2 linked regions of the Astyanax mexicanus genome follow. The protein of the gene in region 2 interacts with the protein of the main gene of each other region in a biochemical or structural test. Links are inferred from orthologs where the notes say so. Each region holds a gene or a part of one and is shown on either strand. Other genes may lie near its edges. The genes, in order: sumo3a and pias2.

Region 1 (11,770 bases), on a different chromosome or scaffold from region 2:
GACACAACACTTGATTACCTAGGCAATTGGGGTTTTCCCTTCATATCATTGTTTTGCACAAATGTTTAGTTCTCTATTCCAGTTACTGTAGATCGTGTGCTCTTACTTTATCCAGTCCTTCAGAGTGGATGTTAAAAGAGAAGCTACTTATAACTATACACAAAAAGGCTGTATTTTATTTATACTTTTGCTTTTTTATATTGCTTTTGTATTGAACAACACATTCAAGGTTGGTTTGTACAAATATTAACTGTATGTTAAATATTAAAATCTTTTTGAAGATCTGCTGTGCAATATGAACAATTTGTGCTTGCCTGTGTACATCATCAGTTAGAAAAAATGCATCAACATGCTACGGTTCCTGTCCCATGACTTTTGCCATTTTCAAAAAAACTAAAGCAAGCTGCACTGATCTGCAGAATATGGTTGTGTTGCCTCAGGCATTGAATATGAATAAGATTTTTGCCAAAAACACTTGCAGACAACTCTAACCACATGCTGCTGTGGGTGGTAATGCCTCCCAACATATTCCTTGTACCACAAATGATCAACTAACATACTTAATGACAGGGCATCTGTTAAAATAAAACAAACAAAAATGCCTTGCTCTCTATATGTAGTAAAAAATAAATAAAAAAACATACAAAAAGGCAGATGGGAATAGATTTAACATTAATACTAATAATGCTTCATTAATTTTTTTAATCAAATGTAATTTTTGCTTGCCTAGTACACGGACTATGTGGGTAGTGTGCAATGAGGGATTGGATGTGCTTTCTTTGATGTTTTTGGGTAATCACCACACACAGCGAGAGCATGTTCAAGCAAGCATTTTCTGACTACATAAAGCACCATGTAATGGTATTCTCAAAATTGCCATCAAATAAAACATGTCACGCACATACTCGTTTCCTCATTAGATCCACCACAATCATAATAAACAAGACATCAGCAATCTGAGTACCAAACTATATTTATTGTATACAGTAGTAAAGGACAACAAATAATGTACAAATCAGTACAGAAAGATGGAGAACACATGGATGCTGATTCAGCCCAACCCTTACAGATACCAGTCTGCTGGACCACACAGCAGGAGGTGAGAAACAAGTTTTGGGGGGAGGGGAGGATAAATTAGACCTTTCCTCTCTGGAGACAGCAATTCCCTTTAGCTTTAACAAGGCAGTAGACATTGGGACTATAAAAATCAAAATGGTCAATTTCTGTCCTCTCTGTAAATTCAAGAGAATAAACAGGGTCTTGATAGATATTTGTAATAAAAACCTGGACTTTGCATTAGTTCTCTTCAGGGTTTGGTCCAGTATCCTGATCCTCACCACTTATTACACTACCGGACCAGGGTTCTCCTCTGAGGGAGGAAGAAAGTTCCCTTCAATCCCATCCCCCTTTGTTACTTCTTGAGTGAGGCAGTTCATTTTAAAATAAATGTGGAGAAACAAACAAAGAATGCAGGGTGGGCATCTCTTCAGCTTACAGACATAAAATAGATCCTGGCTTAAAAGATACTTAAAGCTGCATGACACAGAAGGGGGAAGATCCTCATTCTGCAGAATATAGACAATATGGGCATAGACCATTTATATTTCAAAATGGAAAGAATGGCGGGACAGGCAACTATGGCCCGACTTTCTGGCCAGTATTACACACTGAGAGACGCAACAAGTAGTTCAGATGGCCATTTTGAACTATACCTCAGGGCAGCCATCTTAGTTTTGCCTGCAGCCACATTTGTCATCTCACAGACATGATTACATACTGAAAGAGTGAAGTGGGAGGGGGAATGAAAAGAAAAAAAAAAAAAAATCAAAACAAAAAACCTGGTCCCACCCTATGAAAACTAGGGAGGACTTTCAAATAACTGGCAAAGAAGGGAAATGAACAGTACAGTTAAAGAGAGCATTTAGAGGAAAACATGTCAAATAAAACAGCCGAGTGGGAGCTCGCTGCGCGAATAGGTTTAGCGAGAACCGCCTGTCTGTTGTTGAAATACATCGATAGTGTCCTCATCCTCCATCTCCAACTGCAAGAAAGAAAACATATTAAACCAACTGGATACAACTGATCAAAGTAAATAAACATAAGAGAAAAGAGCAAAAAAATCCCAAATTTTGACAATAGTTTATAATTAACCTTAAATTCGCTCAGAGAGACATTAAGCCAATAAGATAGCAGTTGGCTGCAACAAATGTACTGGAATATTTAGGGGCACCCAAGAGGACAGATTCATAAATAACAAAATGTTAGAGTTTAGTTAATTTTTACATAAATTTCTGGATTCTATTCCTTAAGCTAGCGTAAAGTTGACATAGCTTTTACACTTCAGACTGCATGAGCTAATTTTTGTACATTTTATCTACTTATAAGTAATCTATACAATTTGTGGTGAAGCTGTGATTTAGTCATTGTGGGACAAAGGTAATCCTTATATGCTCACCTGTGCCGGCGTGTCTGTCTCGTTTATTGGCTGTCCATCAAACCTAAACCTAATCTGTCTTATTGACAACCCCTGCAAGAACAAAAAATAAAACATTAGTGCAGCTCAAGACCATGCATGCATACACAGTAACAATGGAAACCGCATTAAAGAGAAGAAAACAAACATATATAAAAGGCAAAATATGCAATCACCAATCTCTTTTCCACCTATTAACAAAAGTCAAAAAACACAAACAAGCAAGCATGCACACACCTGTCTTTCACAGTATGCTTTCATTAGTTTGCTGAGGGGTGTATGCCTTTTGATTTTAAACTGGACCACTGATCCATCCTGCCCAGCCACCTTCAAGTTGATGTGATCGTTCTCAGTCTTCACTCCCTCCTGTAAGAGAAAAGAGGGGGAAATGTAACAATGAGACATGTAAGCAGCTTCTATTGGTTAGAATATACAAATACAAAATGTTAACATGTTCTATTGCAAACGTCAGGGTAACCATTCTGAGTGATACCATGGACGGATGTGGTTAATCACATGTTTATAAAAGCTGTTCAGAAAGTGGTAAAGGTGTTCTGTGGTTCAGTAAATGTGGCTAACTTTATGTACCAAAAACAGAAAGACAAAAAGTAGATTGGATACCATTTTCTCATATCTTTTCCTGAAAACCAGACTGAGAAGCAGAAATAAAAACTGGCAACTTAAGGAAATGGATGAACCCAGAATGGGCTGAATGGTTGTTTCAATTAGCTAACTAGCGTTAGCTTGGTTAACTAACCTATGTTAGCTAATGCTAGCTACCATTATTTTTGTCTGAGCTAATAGCATCTCCTAGCTAACATCTCCCCACAGATACAGTCAGACATTAGCGAAAACTGACTAGCTAGCGTTAAATACAGCGATTAAAAAGTGGTGAAACTGCGCAGATTCGCCCTTTCCTGTTTAAGCGCTCTTAATGCTATCTAAAGAGCTCGGGGTGTGAGAAAATGGAGAGGCGCTAGCTTATTTTCCCTCCATAAGCCTCACACTGCAAAGCTCCCCTCATAAAGTGAAAGCTAGCTTACAGCTAAACACACCAGAACCTGGCCATTACAGCAACAAGCCTCACAAAACAACATGAAGCGAGCTGAAACACGGCGGTAGCTAACATTAGCTAAGTGGCTAACCGCTACACTACCCAGCTCTCAGTGAGGAGACGCGTCGTTGAGGCTCTTTGCCGCCGCCGCCGTGCGCCATTTTCGCATCTGGTGCAGCTAAAAGCCTGCACCTAAAATCAGCTCCCAAACAACCCGCTCACCTTCACCCTCCCCGTTTAAATTAACGAGCATTTTAACACGATTTAAACCAATTAAGAGGCTCATGATGAATAAACTCGGTCGATTCCAGTCAGCGGCCCGTTGCGCTTCTTCTCGTAGCGCCACTTCTCCGCTTTCACAAAGGAAAAGCCGCAAAGCTCGACGCTGCTTCTCACACGGCGACGGAAAAACGGCGCAGAGCAGGTAAACAACGGCGCGCTTTCAATGGACGACCGTCCGCCTGTGTCTAATTCCCTGAAATATTTAAAGAACCCGCGGAATAACCGGGTTTTATAAATGTAGCGGGAGAATGGAAAAACCCCGCGGCCGCACGCTGGCTTCCATTTTCCCGCACAAATGCGCAGCCTGCCGAGCGCACTCTGAATATAACACTGAACCGGCGCTTTTCCCTCCGCGCGCGCTCTTCTTCCTTCCCTCTCCCCCGAACACTTGCTCCCCACACGGACACCCGGCTCTCGGCTCACCTTGGGCTTATCTTCAGACATCTTCTCCGCGGGTTTTCTTGCTGATCTCCGCTCACCGTGTTTGTGTGATTTCGCTACTGTCCGCCCGGCCGCCACGAGCACGCGCCTCTCTTTACCTCCTTCGGCCCTGATTGGGCGTCACAGAGTCACGTGTTCCAGTCTGGGCGGGAGCGCGCCGCGCGTTCCCGTGCGCGCCTCTTTCTTCTGGGGGGAGGAGTGAAAAAAAAGAAACAAGAAAAACGGGGTCGCGCGCACAGAGACAAAAAGGCGCGGCCCCGCTCAAACCCACGGATTAAATTAGGATTATTAATATTTTAAGTTAAACTGGTCCGTATTGAAGACAGGCCTATTGATAGATACCGAATATAATTGATTTTTTACACGTGACGTTTGTGTCTGTGGGTTTTCTGTGTCTAATGAACAATTTAGTCATTCTTTTCTCCGCCACTAGGGGCAAGCGATTTGGACCTGCACACAAATAGGCCGCCATAATAATAATAATAATAATAATAATAATAATAATAATAATAATAATAATAATAATAATAATAATAATAATAATAATAATAATGAATAAATGATAATTTATTGATCCCAGATTTTCAAACCATGCCTTATGTCAGAGCAGTAAAATGATTTTATATATTTGTTATTATTATCTGTTTATATATCTACCTTAATAACTATTTTCTGTAAAATACAATACAATAAATACAATAAAAACGTTTTTTTTAAATAAATAAGTAAATAAAAATTATGTTAACAAGTGCTGAATGAATTGATAAGCATAAGCTATATACTGTAATAATGTATTTGCATGTATTTTTGTTATTTTCTCAACCATGCCTTGACATTTGACAATTCTTAAAATTCAAATTTAAATAAGTTCGGATATTTTATTTGAATTATTTAAAATCTGTAAAATGATTTTATAAACTTGCAAAACAGTGTCTGCTGCCTTTATATTAATATTAATACAATTTTATGAAAAATACCATAATACAACAGTTATACTCGTTGCCTAATTCTTAAAAATTGAAATGATATAAACAAATGACATATTAAATTATAAACATAAAGTGGAAAAAATGTATGTGAACCCTTTGGTTCACAAATCTGCTTATACATTTGTCTTAAAATATGATCTGATCTTCATCTAAATTAGCATTGAAAAATATGTTGTGCCTAAAATATCACATAATTCAATCCATAGCATCTGAGATCTGACTTGGCCCATCCTAAAGGTGGATTTTGTTTTTCTTAAACCATTCTGTTGTGAACTTGCTCTGGGGTTTTGGGTCACTGTCCTGTTGCATTACCCAACTTCTACTCCTGTAAAATTGTTTGATACACTCGGGAATTCATCCAGATCTTGATATTCCCTCCACCTTACTTTGGAAGTTGGAAGGATGTTTTTATGGTGATGTGCAGTGACATTTTATATCAGATTTAGTGCAGCAAAGCAGTTTAATTTTAGTGTTATCTGTCAATAAAATATTTTCCAGTACCAAGGTAGAGCTTCAATGTGCTTTTAGTAATTCCTTTATGTTTTTTTACATTATGTAAATCAACATTTTTTAATATTTGATTCTCTGAAAGCTCTTTTTTGGCACAGCATTGCTCAGATATAGGTATCCTTCTTGTGCAGAGCAAAATCAAAAAGTTTAAATGGATTTTATCAAAGTAGCTCTAGTCCACACCTTTAAACTAGCATTAGTCCAAGTGCTAATGCTTGACTCTAATTTTATATATATATTATTATATATTATATAATAATTATTTTAGGTATATCATATTTTTAATACCATTATTCTGAATCAAATAACATTTTGTGACAAATTTATGCTACCAATTGAACCATGAAATTCCAAAGGGTTCACATACCTTTTCTAGACACTATATGCTGTATACTGTAATTATGTATTTGCATTCATTTTAGTTTTTGTTTTAATCATTTCTTGACATTTGACTTTATTATATTGTCCTATATTGAATGTATAATAATTTAATAAATGTAATAATTTAAAACATATGTACATTAATTTATACACTTGCTACACAGTTTTATATTATTAAAAATACTTATTCCCAACTTTACCATCATAATCTTGAAAAAGTTCTGATTTTTAAACCACTTCATTCATTTCAGCTGAATTAATCTTCTTGAAAAGCTCTCATATATATTTTTTTACATTCTGATAGACAGGTCAACAACTGCTTAATGCCCTTGAAAAGCATAACAAACATTAACCAGTTTAGCTCTGGACTTCAGGGAATTTATGTGGTCTCCCAACTTGGCAGGTTAGTCAACCTATATGTTTACTGGCTGATCTCCAGGACCAGCATGAAAAACAGGCTTGACAAACAGTCATGTCAAGCAGCTTAATCAAGCTGGATGATCACCAAAACTACACTAGTCAATTAGAATTAGCAGCATAATAATGCTGGTTGACCAGCATGACTCAGATGGTTTACCAGTATAACAGATTAGTCAACCAGTATGACCAGCTTTGTCAGTTGTGTTAAGGTGGTTAAGAGCTAAGTTGGTGTTAACAAGCTTTACCAGTTTTCGTACAGTATACTGTGTGTTTTTCCCCAGACTGGCCATCTTTTCAACCGCCTTCATCTTCTTGCTGGTCCTTAGCTGGATTTTATCTGTAGTTAATTTTGTTCTTTCTCTGAAGGCAAACAAACTCAGTTCTAAAATAACGATCAAACAATGAAATCATAAAAAAGGAACACAGCTATTCACAGAAAAAAAGATTTTATTTTTATTTTCCATATTCTCAGTCAAACCTACAATACATAGGAACGTATTGCTGTTGATTAACATAAATAGCAATAAATCAGAGAAATCTTAATCAAGGTGTCCAATCCATTGTTTTACTATAAACAACCAGCAGCACACTGGTTTCATCAACTGGTCTGTCTGCAAACTAGTGAAAACAAGAGCTTCACCTTGGCTGAAAATGAAAACCTAAAGCCAGACTGGCTCTTTGCAGATAAGAATGGACACCCCTGTCCTAAATTAAGAAAGTCCCAACTAAACATTTCCACTAAACCCTTTAAAGATTCTGAGCTCATAAAAATCAGTGTACAGAAAACTATTAGTATGATGTGGCCTATAGTTTGGGGCAATGGGTCACTATCAGTATAAGGTGCCTTTTGTGGCACAGTGAAATAAAAACAAATTAAATTATTCATTTTGTTATTTTCATAAAAATATTCAGCTATTTACATTATATATCTTATATTGTCTTCATATTTCGCTGAGGAAAAGCTGTTGTTTACCCTGTCACGGGTAAAATATTACATTAATTATAATATTAAAAAATGAAAATAAAAACTGATTAAACTAGAAGACATCCTGTGAAAACATTTCTGTGTAATCTGAAGTCATACGTTTAGAAATTAAACTGATTAAAAATTGTCGAAAGAATGAAAAATCTTAAGTAATGTTTTTTTTTGTCTTCAGGGCCAAAAAGGCACAGTATTTTGATAATGACTCAGCTAATAAAATCAGACATTATCAGACAGCAGCATCAAAGTAAAAGTCATTAAAGGCAGTTTGCAAAGGTTTTGAAGGTTCACTCAGGAGCTCCTCTCAGGCAGCATTCTCAAACCTGGCATAAGGGCTGGCCTTACTGAGACCTGAGAGAAAGAGAGAGAGAGAGAGAGAGAGAGAGAGAAAGAAAGAGAAATATTGTTGCCATATCACATTCTGAGTGCATGTTTACTTTAGCACTGCCCTGGGAAAAAGTACATAATGGATGTGAGTGGACCTGAAGGCTGAGGAAATGTGGACTGTTAATTTAAAAATAATTACATTACAAACATGCGCTTTTCTGTTTAAAGAGGCACTCCAGCAAAACTGACAAACATAACCATCACTATATCTGTTGTAATATGCTTACTAGCCTTCCACAGGGGTGACAATTGGAGCTCTAATTTAGCTTCTTTTGTTTAAAGGCCACCTACGTCATGTCCACAGTTACGTGCCACGTTACGTTAAATAATTATTCTAAGGCGTTAATTAACACAATATTTATTTCAATTATTCATTTAGCTATTTCCCTTTTTTTATAAAAATATTAAGCTAAGAATTCCATGCCCACCCTGTCATCTTGGGAAAACTCTGGCCCTTTAAGAAATTAACTTTTGATATCAGATTTATTAATCAGCAATTAATAACATTAATTTCACTTAATATTATTCATACACTCTCCATATTGAACTGGGGTAAAGCTGAAGATGTTCAAGCTGTCATGTTAAAATGTCAAGGTATTTAACACAATTTTAGGAAATCCAAATTGATCTTTGAAACTAAAAAGGGTGCCATGAACAAAACAACATGTTTGTAACTTTAGGTCAACCATGTTTTCGTCAAATGTTTATTTTTGCTGCAATTTTCACCTTGTCATTGTAAGACAGGATGAACCATTTTAGCAAAAATTAACATTTGATGAAAACATGGTTCACCTAAAGTAGTCTGTTAAAGTAGCAGTTTACTGAATGTCAGTCTCTTTAGCAGACTTCTGTTAGACCTCAATTTTCATTTTATCTGATTAAATGAAATGAACGTGGTTTTCTATAGAGGGTGGAGGAAGGTTCTTTTAATGATAATCTGTACATGTTCATACAGTGAAGCATCAGTGTGTGAGGGGGCATCACTTATGACACTGCTTACCATATTTCTGCCGAATTTCATCATGTCGCACTCTCATCTCAGCTTTCCTGTAAAAGAGCAAATATATTCTTATTGTAAATCCATGCAGACAGATACACAGACACACACACACACACACATATACAGACAGACAAGTCTGTAGATTATCTCAGTCCAGCATGGCTGCCAAACCGGTTTGTACTGGAACATTTTTAGTGACGACCAACTTTACAGCAGCACTTTTTTTCCCTTTGTTCTGAAGATATGCAGAGGCTGATATATAAAGGCAGTGTGTGTGTGTGTATGCGTGAGTGTGTGGGTGTAACTTGGACATTATTATGCGTAAGAACATTGGAATTATCTGTGAATTACCTTTCATAGGTAAAATAACCATTAATGACTGTAAAGTGTTGTATATTGAAATGTAAATGAAAAATGCTAATTTGTCCATGGTCAATTGATTCATGGGCTTTACAGGAGTGTACAAACATTTTACCAAATGGCCTTTAAACACAGTAAAAAAAAAATAATCCAGTCGGTTTGGTAAATGTACCGCTTTTCCTGTTTGGTGCTCCTCTTGTCTGCTTGCCGCTGCATCTTGCTCTCAGAGCTGGAGCTTCTAACGGGGTTAGAACACACAGCAGGTAAAGGGAAATTAGAAACAATGTTTTCAACAGTTTTGTTGACTTATTTAAAATAAATCAATTTTCCATTAACCCCAACTGTGATTAGCCAAAACACATTTGGTGCTCTAGTCTGGCTTCTTTAGATTAGCACTGCTAATTTAGCTAATCAACACTAGAAGTCAACAGTCACAGATTTCTAAAGAATAAAACATGAAAGTGGTTGTGCATTATGTAAATGTGTGTGAGAATTAGGGCTAATAATTTTTTTGGTAGTCGACTAATCTGATGATAATTTTCTCAATTAGTAGATTAGTCAACGATTATTCTGCTTTATGTCCTCCATCTCTAAAAACGATAGAAACACCTGAACATGAGATTTAAAAGGCATGTCTGGATGTTTGATATTTAGTGACTAAATATGTAATTTGTTGAGTTTGGGCACTTTTGGAGACAGATTAAGTTCTCCAATCTCCTATTGCGGTCCTGTCTCCAAAACTTTTATGTAATGTGGAACTATTACAAATTAACGATTAGTCGATAATTATATTTGTAGTTGACAAATTTAAATTATCGACATTGTCGATTATATTGACTAATCGTTGCAGCCCTAGTGAGAATATAAGCTTAAAATTCACAATCCTCCGAAAATCTCGTACAAGTCATTAATATTATAAAGGCAATGTAAAAAGCACACAATAATTTTCGATCATCCTCATCCTACCTTCCACTACCTTACATTACCTTACTGTACCTCACTGCACCTAGCTCTTTATCTAGCTCTACCTTGCTTTGCCACACTCTACGTTACTCTACCTCACTGTACCTCACTCTGCTTCACTTTACCTCACTCTACTTAGCTCTACTTTACTCCATCTCATTCAAGCAAGATTTCAGATTTCAACTTATGAACAAATGTACACTTTTTATGTAGTAGTTTGTAATTAATTAGTGTTTTTTTCATGATATATTGATGTGCCTCTAAGTGATATAAGGTACTAATACTAAACAATTTATTAAAAATAGCATCTATTGGTCATCATTGCTCATCATGAAATTTTACAAACATTGAAAGAACAACTACCAGATTCAAATTAAGTAAAAAAAAAAAATAATAATAATAAATACAAGGTTTTCATCTGTCAGCATCAATATTTTTTAGACATGTTAATGACTGCAGGTTTCACTACATATTTTCTTATTTTGATTAATTTTGTCATCCACAATTCACTGCTGACACAAAAAAAGCCCTCCCACATGCTCCTAAAATCAGCTGATATTCAGTTGGCCTATTCCTTTTAAACTGGAACAAGCTGAGCGCACCACTTCCTGAATCAAATTACATGTAAATAGAGCAGTCAGAGTTTGTTAGGCTATAGGTCTGCACTGCTCGATACAGGCCAAAACAGCCTTCTGTATTTGGAATTGCTGCTGTATGTGCCGTTGCTGGCCTTGGCTGCACTTACCCGCAGTTTTCACACTTGCAGCAGCAGAACAGGCAGAAGAAGAAGGCGATGATGAGCGCCCCCGCCACCACTGACACCGTAATGATCAAAATCTGGAAGTTCACTGGAGTTGAAAAAAAATACAAATATAAAATTTAAATAACTTGAACATACACTCATATCACACTATACACCACCTTTTTAAAAATTTGGTTAACAACTTCAGTGCAGCAACAGCAGATCCAAACACAGATTACAATTACAGGGATAACCATCAATAATCAGACAATATTTATCATTCATTTATTAGAGACTGTCACAGTAGTGCTAGGAAATATTGTAAAAAAAACCCCTCAAAAATCAATATGAACAATTATCGATTACAATTAAGATTTTTGTAGTTGTTACCTAACAGTTTTCTTCAGATGTACCAAAATAGTAACAAATAGCACCAGTTTTAGATATGAACTATGCAAACTAATGTTCCTGTTACATTTATAGTAACAGTCAAATGTTTGGACACACCTTCTCATTTTGTTTTTCTCTATGTTTTTTTTTTTTTTTTTTTTTTACTTTGTAGATTAATAAAAAACAAAAAACAGTGTTTGCCCTCCACAATCCCCTGATCTAAACCTGATCAACTGAGTCGATTTGAGGTGATTTGGGATGAGCTGGAGTTTCACAGGGTGAAGGAAAAGCAGCAAATATTGTTCAGCACCTCCAGAAACTCATTTAAGACGCTGAGAAAACTGTTCTAGGTGACTCTACCTAGAACTATCACTATCTATCACTCACAAGACACTG
Region 2 (11,919 bases):
AATAACAATAGTAACAATAATAAAACTTGGAATTATTAAGAAATTAATAGATCAAAGATGATAAGATTAATAAAAAAAACTAACTTTTACATAGTACAATAAAAATACAAACACATCAACTAACAATATATATATATAATTTATATAATATAAATATACTAATAAAATAGCAATAATAATACAATAAACTAATTAAAACCAGTTAAAAGGCAATAATATAGTTTTATTTAAAAAAATAAAATAATGAAGAAATAAACAGAAAATAAAGAACTATGAGAAGAACTAAAGCAAGAAATAAAGGTTAGGAATAAATAAGATTAAGTAAAACAGGTACAGGCTCTCTGAAGGTAAATTAGATATTAAAAGTTTAAAATGACTGAGTGACACCAGTAAGCTGAGTTTAAAAGTTTTCTGAAGTGAATTTCAGCTTGTTGGAACCTGACAGCTGATCCAATCACTAGAGCGAGTCTGATAATTACTGCTGTTTACATTCATCAATGAAGTGATGTATTCTGGCAAATGACCGGAGAGTGTCTTATAAATAAAAATCAACCAATGTGTTTCCCTGTGTACCGTTAATGACGGCCAACCAATTTTGGAATTAACCGTGGTAAGTTGCAAATTTCATTATCCAAACCATGCCTGCAAACAACCAAGACATACAGTACTTACCCATCAATGATCAGACTCTCATATGTGGCTTTCTTGTCACACACAGGGCAGATCCAGGTGGGTTTCTTTTCATTCATCTGCAGGTACAGAGCTGCATCGAAACACTGAAGGTGAGAGCAGGTAACCGCTCGACAGGGAACTGTGAGGCGCATCTTTCCGAGCTGTGAAAGAACATTTTTTAATTAGTAATACAAACGCAATTCAAAAAGGCATGTTAAAATATGAAAAAATATTTTGCAAAGATAAAATATATAAAACCTTCAGAACTTACTGGGCACATGAGGGACACTCGCAAACTGGTTGTAGCTATTTCACTGTCTGGGTCTGCTGTGAGCTTTTCTTTTACTAAAAACATGACAGAAAGTGAGTATTTTTAATTACATTAATGATTCTGAGAAATAATCCCCCAACAACAAGTGACAAAGCACTATGAATAAAAAGCACAGAAAACATCCCAAAATAAATCAACAGGACAGAATTTAAAATATTTCCTGTACAGGAAATGCTGTTATTCTTCTTTTAAATACTAAACAATCTTTGTATATTAAGAATTCTTACTTAGTGCTCTTGAGTGGTCAGGGTTTCTGATCCCTTTCATTCGTAATCTTTGCAGTAGCAACGGTGACGTCAGCTGCCGTACCAAGTAAACGGACATGGAATATGTCTGGGGGAAAAAATAAAAAAATTAGGTACAACTATCAAACATTTAAACTTAAATCAAAACATTGTTTTTTATTTATTAATCTGCCTACCTTTCCTATTTCAGGTGCCCACGTGACTGATATCTGATTGGGTACTGCAGAGGACAATCTGACGAGAGACGTGATGTTCAAAGGCCTTCCAGGCCTCTTTTGTTCAACACCGTTCTTAGGAGGTGGTGCATAGCCCTAGCACAAACGCAGAAAAAAGAAACATCAAATCTGCTCATTTTCACATCCACATTACATCCTAATTGATGAAGTATGAGAGACATCTAATTACTCACTGGTAAAGGAAAGAGCTTCCCATTGACTTTGATGCAAAGACTGTTGGGATAGTTGTCCTCTTGAGGGCAACTGGTCTCTGAAAGGCAGAACCTGTAAACAAACAAACCAAAAAAAAGAAGTAGTAGTAAGCTCGAGGACCAATATCACAGCTTCATAAACTACACAACATTAAATTGAGAGTCATCCTTACCGTAACTGTATTTGAACCATATAGTCTCTTCTCCCACCAGGAAGGAAATCCCTTTTAACAAACAATCAAATTTAAATACATGGATAAGAGACATCATCAACAGCAGCAAGCCAAATCAGCCACAAAAGAAATAAACCAAGAAAAAAAATTAAAGAGACAAGAATTAAGTCATTCTTAATTCTTACCGTGAAATACAAACTTCTCTCACTTGCTGTGGAGTCAAGGCAAAGATGAAGTACTTTTCCTGATGAAACCTCTGAACAGTACTGGGTCCTGTGGGGAAAGAAGTACAAGAATATAATTTAGATACTAAGTTTAATTACGCTGCTGTCAGACAAAACCTTGCATCTCCCATTTTTTTCCGTTTTGGTATGATTCATATATTTTTTTATACTGCGGGGTACTTCAAACACAGGGATTAAGCCTAGTTTTGGACAACACAGCATTTTGTGTGTGTGTGTGTATAAAATACTCTGTAGTCCAAGACTATTATATAAAATCAATAATTTTAAAGAAAGCCCCCACACAGTATCATGTATTTAAATATATATATATATTATTTTAATTAATTTTATTTTAATAATATATTATTTAATTTTGACATACAATATGTCAATACCGTAATTATCGTAATTGGCCTGCACTGAATAAGAATGTGATAAATGAAATATACTTTTAAACTTTTTTTATACCTTTAAAATTGCCATTTTTGAGGTACAAGGATTTTTCACTACAGTGATAAAAATAAAGTACAAGCCAACATTCTTGATGCATTTTTAATGAAAATATAATGTATTTAAAATAGTTAAATATTTTAACAATGCCACATTTCGTATTATAGTATTAAAAAATAAAATTATATACTTTATATAAAAAAAATACTTTTAAAATCATTGTTTGGCATATTTGACATTGTAGGAGCCCATAAAAATCCCCACCAAAATTACCTAAACTCGATGGCTTGATCAATACATCCAACACATCATAAAATGGGAGGGACTTCATCTGGACGTCCGGGTGGACAGGGGGCATAAGTGGGTTTGGCTGCTGCATGTTCATCCTGGGCTTTGAGTCCTGAAATGCTGGTGATTTGCGGGTGGCCAACTGCTGATGCACCACGTCTGAGTGACTAGCACCAAGAGAAAGTTCCGGACTTACAACCGTTGATCTGTCCCCTGTCTGAAAGTAGGCCTTAATGTTTGATAACTCCGAAAGACTGTCAAATGTTCGAGGATATCTCCGGCGATACAGTTCCTTGATTTTAATTTGCACAGCAGGATTACTGTCACTCTTTATCAAATGCAAAGCCCTCAGCAGAAGTTCATGCTTGCGACCACTCTTGTTCCTTCCAGCAAAACCTAGCAGTACCTGCAGCTCTGAGACACGGAAACTTGATACCATATTCTGCAAAACAAATACAAAGAACCATAAAGGCAAACAACTGAAAAAGGTGACAGGGACAAGTTCAAAGTCTGGTTAGGTAAATTTGCATTTATAGCAGGTGATAAAAAGAAGTGATTCTATGACACATTTAGGCTGTTTCAATGTCTAATAAAATATAACAAAAAAGGCATGACAGTAAACAAGAGGAATGCTTAAAATAAGAGGTATCATACCCAATAAAGAAGTCTGATTTGAAATCAATATGTATATATAATTATGATGTTTTTGTATACACATTTGACTAAATCAAGGTCTATACATTTACAAATATAAATTATATAAAAAGATATACGTCTACCCCAGTGTAACATTATGCATTGTTCAAAAGACATCCCACACAAACATTTCCCTGCCAGAACCCCCACTCCCCAAAAGAGTAAGAAAATCTCAACTGACCCTTCAACATACGGTCCATGCTTGATCGTTCTTACTTGTTAATCCTTTTTTCTTTAAAAATCCTTTACAAATGTGCGCGAATTGCATCTAAAATGTTGAGAATAAGTCCAAAACTCATTAGATAAACATTGTAAACAAGACACAGAACAGGCTTAACTTGGCATTTGAGTTAATATGAAACTTCACAGTCAGATTTGGTGTGTATAATACATTTTTTCCACAGTTAGATAATCTTTATGGCATGTTTACTGAGGATATTAGATTATAATTAAGAATGAGAGTCCTGTAACATCAAGGACAAAGAAAGAAGAGTCTAGGGGAGGTTAAAGTCACAAGCAAAAATACAGACTTAGTGTGCAGTTTCTCACTGTGTGCGTTTTAAATAACTACTCATGTATAATTAAGTAATTTAAAGCAACATAAAGAGGAAAACTAACTAACTACAACACTGAGACCAGAAATCAACACTAATACACTACTAGCTTAGCTAAAATAGCTAAACACACCCTAGCTAACTTAACCTACAGCTGTCAGTCACCAACTATGGCTTTACCAAAACCATTAGCTACCAATTTGAAAGAATTAACTCAGATTTAGGAGGTTAAATCCCCGAAAACTTGAGTTGTATGTTAGTAAGGTAACTTAGCTTTAAGCTAACGGTTAGGTTTGCAAATGTTTGTAGCAGTGCTGTTAGCTTAGCTTTGCTAACCCGCTAACAGGCTAACAGACAACAACAAAAGAGCCCCGAGCGAAGAGACACTCTACAGCATTTAACTACAGAATTATCAAACACTTTACTGTGAAAACTGAACACATAAACCAAAAGCATTTAGATAATATTAATAATATTAAAATTAATAATAATATAACCGAAGCCAATGCACCTTGATATGCTAACGCAGCAGCAGCAGCAGCAGCAGCTCGCTCGCTCTCTCTCTCTCTCTCTCTCTCTCTCTCTCTCTCTAGCGGGACTCTAGCAGCAGCTCTCGGGCCTACAGCTCTGAGCCACCCCGCCGCTCTCTGACTCCCACCCGCAGGCCGAGCCGTGGCCCGCAGAGCACTGCGGGCAGAGCGAGCTTCCCCTGAGCTCAGAGAAGCACACAGCCACTGTCAGCTATCACAACACTGTAGCCTACCCGTAACTCCTCAATATCCGCCATGTTCTGGCTCGGTTCATCCTGACGATTGACCGGTCAGGGTTGAACTCAGCTTCGCAGCGACAGCCGATAAACCACCGCTACAGTGATTCACCCCGCTGAACCGACTCCTTCCACAATGAACCGAACCTCTGATTCATCACATTCCTACCAACAAGCTGCTTCAGTCCCAATCCCATTTAACCCTTGGCCCTACCACTTTACCCCTTCCCCTTGTTTTCGAGTGTAACCCTTCCCCTTTAACTTTAGGGCAAATAAAGTATTATTCAAACAGTGCTTTTAATATTTACTCAGATTATTTTTATCTGATATTAAAGTTTGATTGATAAATAAATATGTAATGGGGCAAATACTTGGATGTGGATGCGCAGAATGAGACAAGCGCAATAATTTAAAAAAGTGCATAATTAAATAAAAGTAATCCAATATATAAACAACAAAATGGATCTTTTTGAATCACTGGAACTAACTGCTATAAGTTATAGTTTTTTATTCTTGAGAAATCAGTTTTAAACAAGTTCCTGTTTATAAAAACATCACACTAAGCTTTTTTACCTTTATGACGAACGAAAACACCACAGCGAAGAGCTAATTAAAAAAATACGCAGTTCCTCCATAATATAGTGCAGCAGCTCTATTTATGCTATTATAATAATAATAATAATAATAATAATAATAATAATAATAATAATAATTATTATTATTATTATTATTATTATTATTATTATTATTATTATTATTATTATTAGGGCTTAAATCTGGCGTATTTACTGTATTTGCTTCGTATATGATTCCTCTCAATGAACTGAATCGATTCTCCGTTTAACTAAAAAGAATCGGTTCAAAAGAATGATTCATTCACGAGTCACCAGCTACACTGAGGTCTGGCAAACAAATTGTGCACACGGAGAACCCGGACAGGTTTAACTGCATACAGAGGATTTTACAAACAGCAGAGTCTACAGACTCTTAATAAAGATGCAGTGAAGAAAATAGTGATAGTGTGTGATTCTGATGCTTTAGAGACACGTGTGAGACACGTGTTGGTCTTCAGGTGGCTGTATGCTATGTATAGGAGAAAAGTGTAAACCCACATTACAGTGGTGAACAGATGGAAAGTTTTGGATTACTGTAAGTAACCAGATAAGCAGACTCTCTTGACCTACTTTCATACAGATTGAATTACACATACTCAGATGTTTGCTAATTAAATCACTGTTGGAAAAAGCCTAGTTTTGCCTACCCACCTATAGCTTCCTAGAATCTTCATTGTCATTTCCATAGCAAAAAAGTGCTGTTGCATAAAATATGACGTATTATGTGGACCACTATTAATATAACGTGTATTTTCTGTCCGTGTCAGGGCCAGGCAGGGATGAGATCAACACAATAATATAATAAAAGTATTATTAAAATAAAAGGTAATCCAAAATCGTAGTCAGAAACAAGCAAGGTAAAAAACAGAAAACAAACACAAAGGGCAGAGAGCATACCATAAACATTGAGTCAAGCATGGTAAAATCGTAGTTGAAATGCAAATATAGGTCAAATACAGAATAAACAATACATGGGTTGGTTCGAATCCTGTTCATGTAGCTTGCTATTAGCTGCTGGAGCCCTGAGAGAGCACAACTGGCCTTGCTCTCTTTGAGTGGGTAGATGGCGGTCTCTCACCCCACATTACTCCAAAGGCTGAAGTTGATCAGCACAAGGCTTCTGAGAGCTGATGTATCAGAACCGAGTCGCTGCGCTTTCCTCCGAGCGTGCAGTTTGAAAAGAGGCAAGAGCTGAATTCACATTTATTGGAGGAGGCATGTGCTAGTCTTCACCCTCCTGATGTTGACGCTTCACTAGTGATAGGGGAGTCCAAATGATTGGTTTGGGTAATTGGCAGAGGAATATATAGTGAGTTTATTACAGCATATTTTTTTCATATTTCTTTTGTTCTTCTGGATCCGTTGTTATGTCTCCTTCTGCTGGCCTCAGTGGGGAATGCACCAGCCATGTGCTCCAGGTGGCTATAGGCTCCGCCCCTCACCTCAAGCCCATCGTGACAAAACACAGGTGCATCTCCTCAAGGAATTAATGAAGACTCACTTTGTCATTGTGAAGTATCTGTGGCCTGTGTGTTTATCTGAGTTCTGAGCAATATTTTTTCTTATTTCCTTTCTACAACTTGTTTGGTGTACTATTTTAATTTATTTAATTTACAGCAGTACTAGATTAAAATGTTTGTAGAGCTTTCTGTGTATATCAAAATGTATGTTTGAGGAATACAGTTTTCAGTGATCAATATATAAATTATATTATTAGTGCTTCATTATTAGTGTTACATATGGCTACATTCACATTAAAACCACATTGCTCAAATCCGATTTTTTGCTCAGATCAGATCAGATCAGATCTGTGTGTAATGTGAACAAATCTGTTCCTAAACGCCTCACATGCACACATTGATACTTGTATAAACGTCGCCTTCTTCACCATATTTGAGAGACGACTCGTAGCTTTATAAAGGGAAATGGATGAGTTAGCAGCTCATATGTGGAGCATCTTTTGCTACAGTGGAGAGTAAACAGCTGGCTGACACCACTCCAGAGCTCCTGCCTGCACCTAAGAGCCTTACAGGGCCATCTCAAAAATATTTGATCAATTTTAAGTGTTTATTTCTTTTATTGGCTTACAGCCAATAAAACCCAAAAATCAGTGTCTCAGAAACTTTGATTATATAAGACCAATTGGTACTTTCTGCAGTATGGGCAGTGTGCCAAGTCCTGCTGGAAAATGAAATCTGCATCTCCATAAAAGTTGTCAGCAGAGGGAAGCATGAAGTGCTGTAAGATTTTGTGGGAAAACAAAACTGCACTGATTTTAGACTTGATAAAACACAGTGGAGCAACACCAGCAGATGACATGACTCTCCAAACCATTAGCTCTGTCTCTCTGTGTCTTTTAGAACAGGGTTTCTCAACCGGGGGGGGGGGGGGCGCGAAGCACCCTCGAGGGCAGGGGTGACCAAACTTTTTTTGTTGGGAGCCAGAAGGAGAAATATATTTGAAGTCACGGGCCACAGACTCTGTAATAAAACAAATAATGAAATATACCACTTTAAATAATACATTTTCCTGATTACTTTAATTTTATCTATCTTTGACAGTGTTGTGTAAACTATGATTTTTCATATTGATGTTTCATTTCATGAGGTCTCTTAATATTAAACTCCTTAATATTATAATACGGCAACTTTTAGACTCTTTGGCCCGTTTTTCTGCGCTACAACTGCGCACCCTCTCCGCTTTTAGACTCTTTAGCCCCGTTTTTCTGCGCTACAACTGCGCACCCTCTCCGCTTTTAGACTCTTTGGCCTGTTCTTCTGCGCTACAACTGTGCACCCTCTCCCCTTGAGACTCTTTGGCCCATTTTTCTGCGCTACAACTGCACAGCCTCTCAGCTTTTAGACGCTTTGGCCCGTTTTTCTGCGCTAGAAATGCGCACCCTCTCCGTTTTAGACTCTTTTGGCCCGTTTTCTGCGCTAAAACTGCGCACCCTCTCCACTTTTAGACTCTTTGGCCTGTTTTTCTGAGCTACAACTGAACACTCTCTCTGCTTTTAGACTCTTTTGCCCGTTTTTCTGCGCTTCAACTTCACTCTCGCCGCTTTTAGACTCTTTGGTCCGTTTTTCTGCGCTTCAACTTCACTCTCTCCGACTCTTTGGCCCGTTTCTGACACCTAGCGTTCAACTTTGAATCTCACATTATAAAAACCTGCTTACCAGCGGGCCAACTTTCATTCTATTTCTAAAATACCTCGCGGGCCGCTCCAAAACAGGAAACGGGCCGCAAATGGCCCGCGGGTCGTAGTTTGGACACCCCTGCTCTAGGGGTCCGCTGGCTCATTCTCAGAGGGAGACAGTACTCTGTAGTGAGCACTTTAAACCAGGGGGCTCAAACTCACGGCCTGCCGACCATTTGCGGCCCGCAGAACGATATTTTGTGGCTCGCGACTTGAAATTAAATTTTAGTGTTAATGAGGCGCGCCCGCAAGAAAGACGCGCACACACACGCACGCACGCACACACGCACGCACACACACACACGCACACACCCACACACACACAGAACAGCTGCCTTTCAACCACGGAGGAGAAGCTGAAAACAGATTTATAGAACTGTAGATCACAGTGAGGTTGATTAAAAATATTAAACTTATGATTGACTACACCTGTTGCTTCATTTGAATTAAAAAAACGTCATGGAGATACCCATACGGAGGTGTTGTGCTACCATGTCAAAACGTGCTATTCTTATGTGTATATTTAAAGGTAAAAAGACAAAAGAAGCACAATATTAGAGCATGTTTCCAGTAAGAAGTTCATGTACTATATTTGGAAAGCCTAAATCACCGTTTCAGGGTAAAGATATGGTAGCAAGAGTTTATTATACTCTGTTTTTTTAGATAGTATCATTATTATTATTATTATTATTATTATCATTATTATTATTATTATTATTATTATTATTATTATTATTATTATTATTATTATTATTATTATTATTATTATTATTATTATTATTACGGTGGGCCGTAACGTAGAAAAGGTTGAGAACCCCTGTTTTAGAAGACACCTTACATGTGAGTTACACTTCCTGACTGTAGGGGGAGCTCGAGGTTCAGACATTACAATTTTCCATTATGCTGCTTAAAGTAATGGGTTGCTTGGTTCTTCGTAAGAAAACAGATTACAATCCCTTAACAAACCTTTTAAAAAATGGTTGTATATGGAACCAAAAAGCCAATTTAAATGGTTTTGTACACAAAACATTTACTAACATTTTAATAATGTAAAAACGTGGTATATTTTAATTAGGTAAGGAGTTTTGTGTCTTTAATGTAAAATAGCCGAAATATAATTTTCCAGTCTTGGAAAATAATCTTCCAGTTGTGCTTCATCGTTGAATCAGTGGTGAATAGTATTAAAGCAAATGTAACTCGATACTGTACCGTTTTTACACATTCTTCACTGAAGTATTCCCATTTTAGGTGACTTTTTACTTTAACTCCACTCTATTTAATTCATTAAATAAAATAACTTTTACTCTGTTACATTAAGTGAAATATGCCATTTATTTTGGCAACATACCAATCAGAACATATATTTACTTTTAAAGCAGTTTAGTCCTGCTGGACCCAGAGCAACATCAGCACAGCAGGTCAAAACTGTGGGAGTGTCTATTCCTGAATAAATTACGGAATATATGTAATATATATATATATGTGTGGTATAGTAAAGGTAAACTTTATCAATCTGTGTTTAAAACATTTTTTAAATTAAATTTAAACTTAAAAATGGAGAAAACGGAGAAGCCGTGAATAAAACAATATTACATAGAGCGAACAATATAGCTGTTTTCTTTAATTTGTGTAAACAATTTGTACTTTGTTCTCATGTTTTCATAAATTTGAGTAAATGATTTGCAATTCGTACTCACGATTTCTTTCATTTGAGTGAACAATTTCTTAAATTTGTACTTACAATTTTCTCAATTCGAGTGAACGATTTTTTTCATTCGTGCTCACGATTTCTTAAATTCGTGCTCATGATTTCTTAAAATCGTACTCACGATTTCTTTAATTCGTGCTCACAATTTCTTTAATTTTAGTGAACGATTTCTTTAATTCGTGCTCACGATTTCTTTAATTTGAGTGAACAATTTCTTTAATTTGTGCTCACAATTTCTTTAATTTTAATGAACGATTTCTTTAATTCGTGCTCACGATTTCTTTAATTTAAGTGAACAATTTCTTTAATTTGTGCTCACGATTTCTTAAATTCGTGCTCACCATTTCTTAAAATCGTACTCACAATTTCTTTAATTCATGCTCACAATTTCTTTAATTCGTGCTCACAATTTCTTTAATTTTAGTGAACAATTTCTTTAGTTCGTGCTAACGATTTCTTTAATTCGTGCTCACGATTTCTTTAATTTGAGTGAACAATTTCTTTAATTCGTGCTCACAATTTTTTTCATTCATTCCAGTACTGTTCATGTCTCCTACAATGGCGTATTAGGGCAACTCTTAAAAATTAAAAACAGTACACTTCGAGAATAAAGTTGTTATATTACAAAATCAAAGTTAAATATGTAAATCAAAGTAAATATGCAGTTGTAACTGCTTGTTAGAAAGAGAAAGGTGAATTTTCCACTCATGATCTGTTAAAGGGCTGCTGTGATTATCATCAGTTATCTACATTTTAACCTGCTGCTTGTTAACGCTCTAGTGCTACAGTTAGATAATACAGTGTCCATATTTTGCCTTATATTTGGCATCCTAGTAGCCTTGCCTTTAACTCCCCCACACTGGGAAAATGGCAGACAGAGGCCCACACCTATGAAAGACAACTGTATTAAATATACAAAAAGTTTTTAAAGCAAAGAATAACATTCTAAATATTAAAAAAATTCATTGTTACACAGTGTTTATATGCAATTGATAAGCTATACTGCTACACAAAATACATGTTATATACTCATATTGATCTGAATTAAAATTCTTCCTAATTTCTTATTTTGATTGTTATTAAAAAACCTTGCAGCCTCTTCATTTATCCAGCAGAGGGCACTATCTGTGTGTATCTGTTGATTTGATTCATAAATTACATTCCTCAGCTATGAAACACTTTATTTTATTTAGTTTTATCAACTACATTTATAGAAAGAGAATTTACAGCATTTGTCTTGCTTACCAAAAAGGAAAACTCCTGCTGCTTGTTCACCTTAAAAATCCAAAATCTTCTACAAAGCAATTTTATTGTTTAATTTTTGTTTTTTGATATTCAATATTTGACCCATTTTTCCACATTTATAAAGCCAAATAACTCCGCTGTTTCATATTCTATTAATCAACAAGAGGTACAGATTGTTTTTGTAATGGTCAAAGGCCAAAAACCCTCATCCATCTTCATACAATGAACCTGAAAGATCTGGCAGCAGCATGGAAACAAGAGCTCTGAAGAAAGTAGGAGGAAAGTTTTGCTAGTTCAAACAGTATTCGTGATTTTTTTTCTCTTTTATAA

The links.
Region 1: the proteins of pias2 (region 2) and sumo3a form a complex in vitro, tested with the Homo sapiens proteins (2 studies listed by BioGRID, with this or other methods). The link is inferred for Astyanax mexicanus from reciprocal best matches to the Homo sapiens genes PIAS2 and SUMO3.

Annotation. Positions count from the first base shown.
Region 1 is NC_064412.1:39,370,373-39,382,142, forward strand, and holds sumo3a (small ubiquitin-related modifier 3-like), read right to left. Parts: upstream 4,389-11,770; 5' UTR 4,254-4,388; coding exon 4,233-4,253; intron 2,840-4,232; coding exon 2,711-2,839; intron 2,528-2,710; coding exon 2,456-2,527; intron 2,042-2,455; coding exon 1,979-2,041; 3' UTR 956-1,978; downstream 1-955. Other genes in the region: pttg1ipa (PTTG1 interacting protein a), read right to left, coding at 7,837-7,883, 8,920-8,966, 9,452-9,517, 10,988-11,090. UniProt on the Homo sapiens protein: Ubiquitin-like protein which can be covalently attached to target lysines either as a monomer or as a lysine-linked polymer. Does not seem to be involved in protein degradation and may function as an antagonist of ubiquitin in the degradation process.
Region 2 is NC_064429.1:14,343,126-14,355,044, forward strand, and holds the start of pias2 (E3 SUMO-protein ligase PIAS2), read right to left. Parts: upstream 4,973-11,919; 5' UTR 4,848-4,972; coding exon 4,824-4,847; exon of another isoform or gene 4,572-4,823; intron 3,775-4,571; exon of another isoform or gene 3,688-3,774; intron 3,253-3,687; coding exon 2,796-3,252; intron 2,122-2,795; coding exon 2,034-2,121; intron 1,900-2,033; coding exon 1,849-1,899; intron 1,749-1,848; coding exon 1,658-1,748; intron 1,560-1,657; coding exon 1,425-1,559; intron 1,337-1,424; coding exon 1,231-1,336; intron 1,018-1,230; coding exon 944-1,017; intron 834-943; coding exon 673-833; intron 1-672. UniProt on the Homo sapiens protein: Functions as an E3-type small ubiquitin-like modifier (SUMO) ligase, stabilizing the interaction between UBE2I and the substrate, and as a SUMO-tethering factor.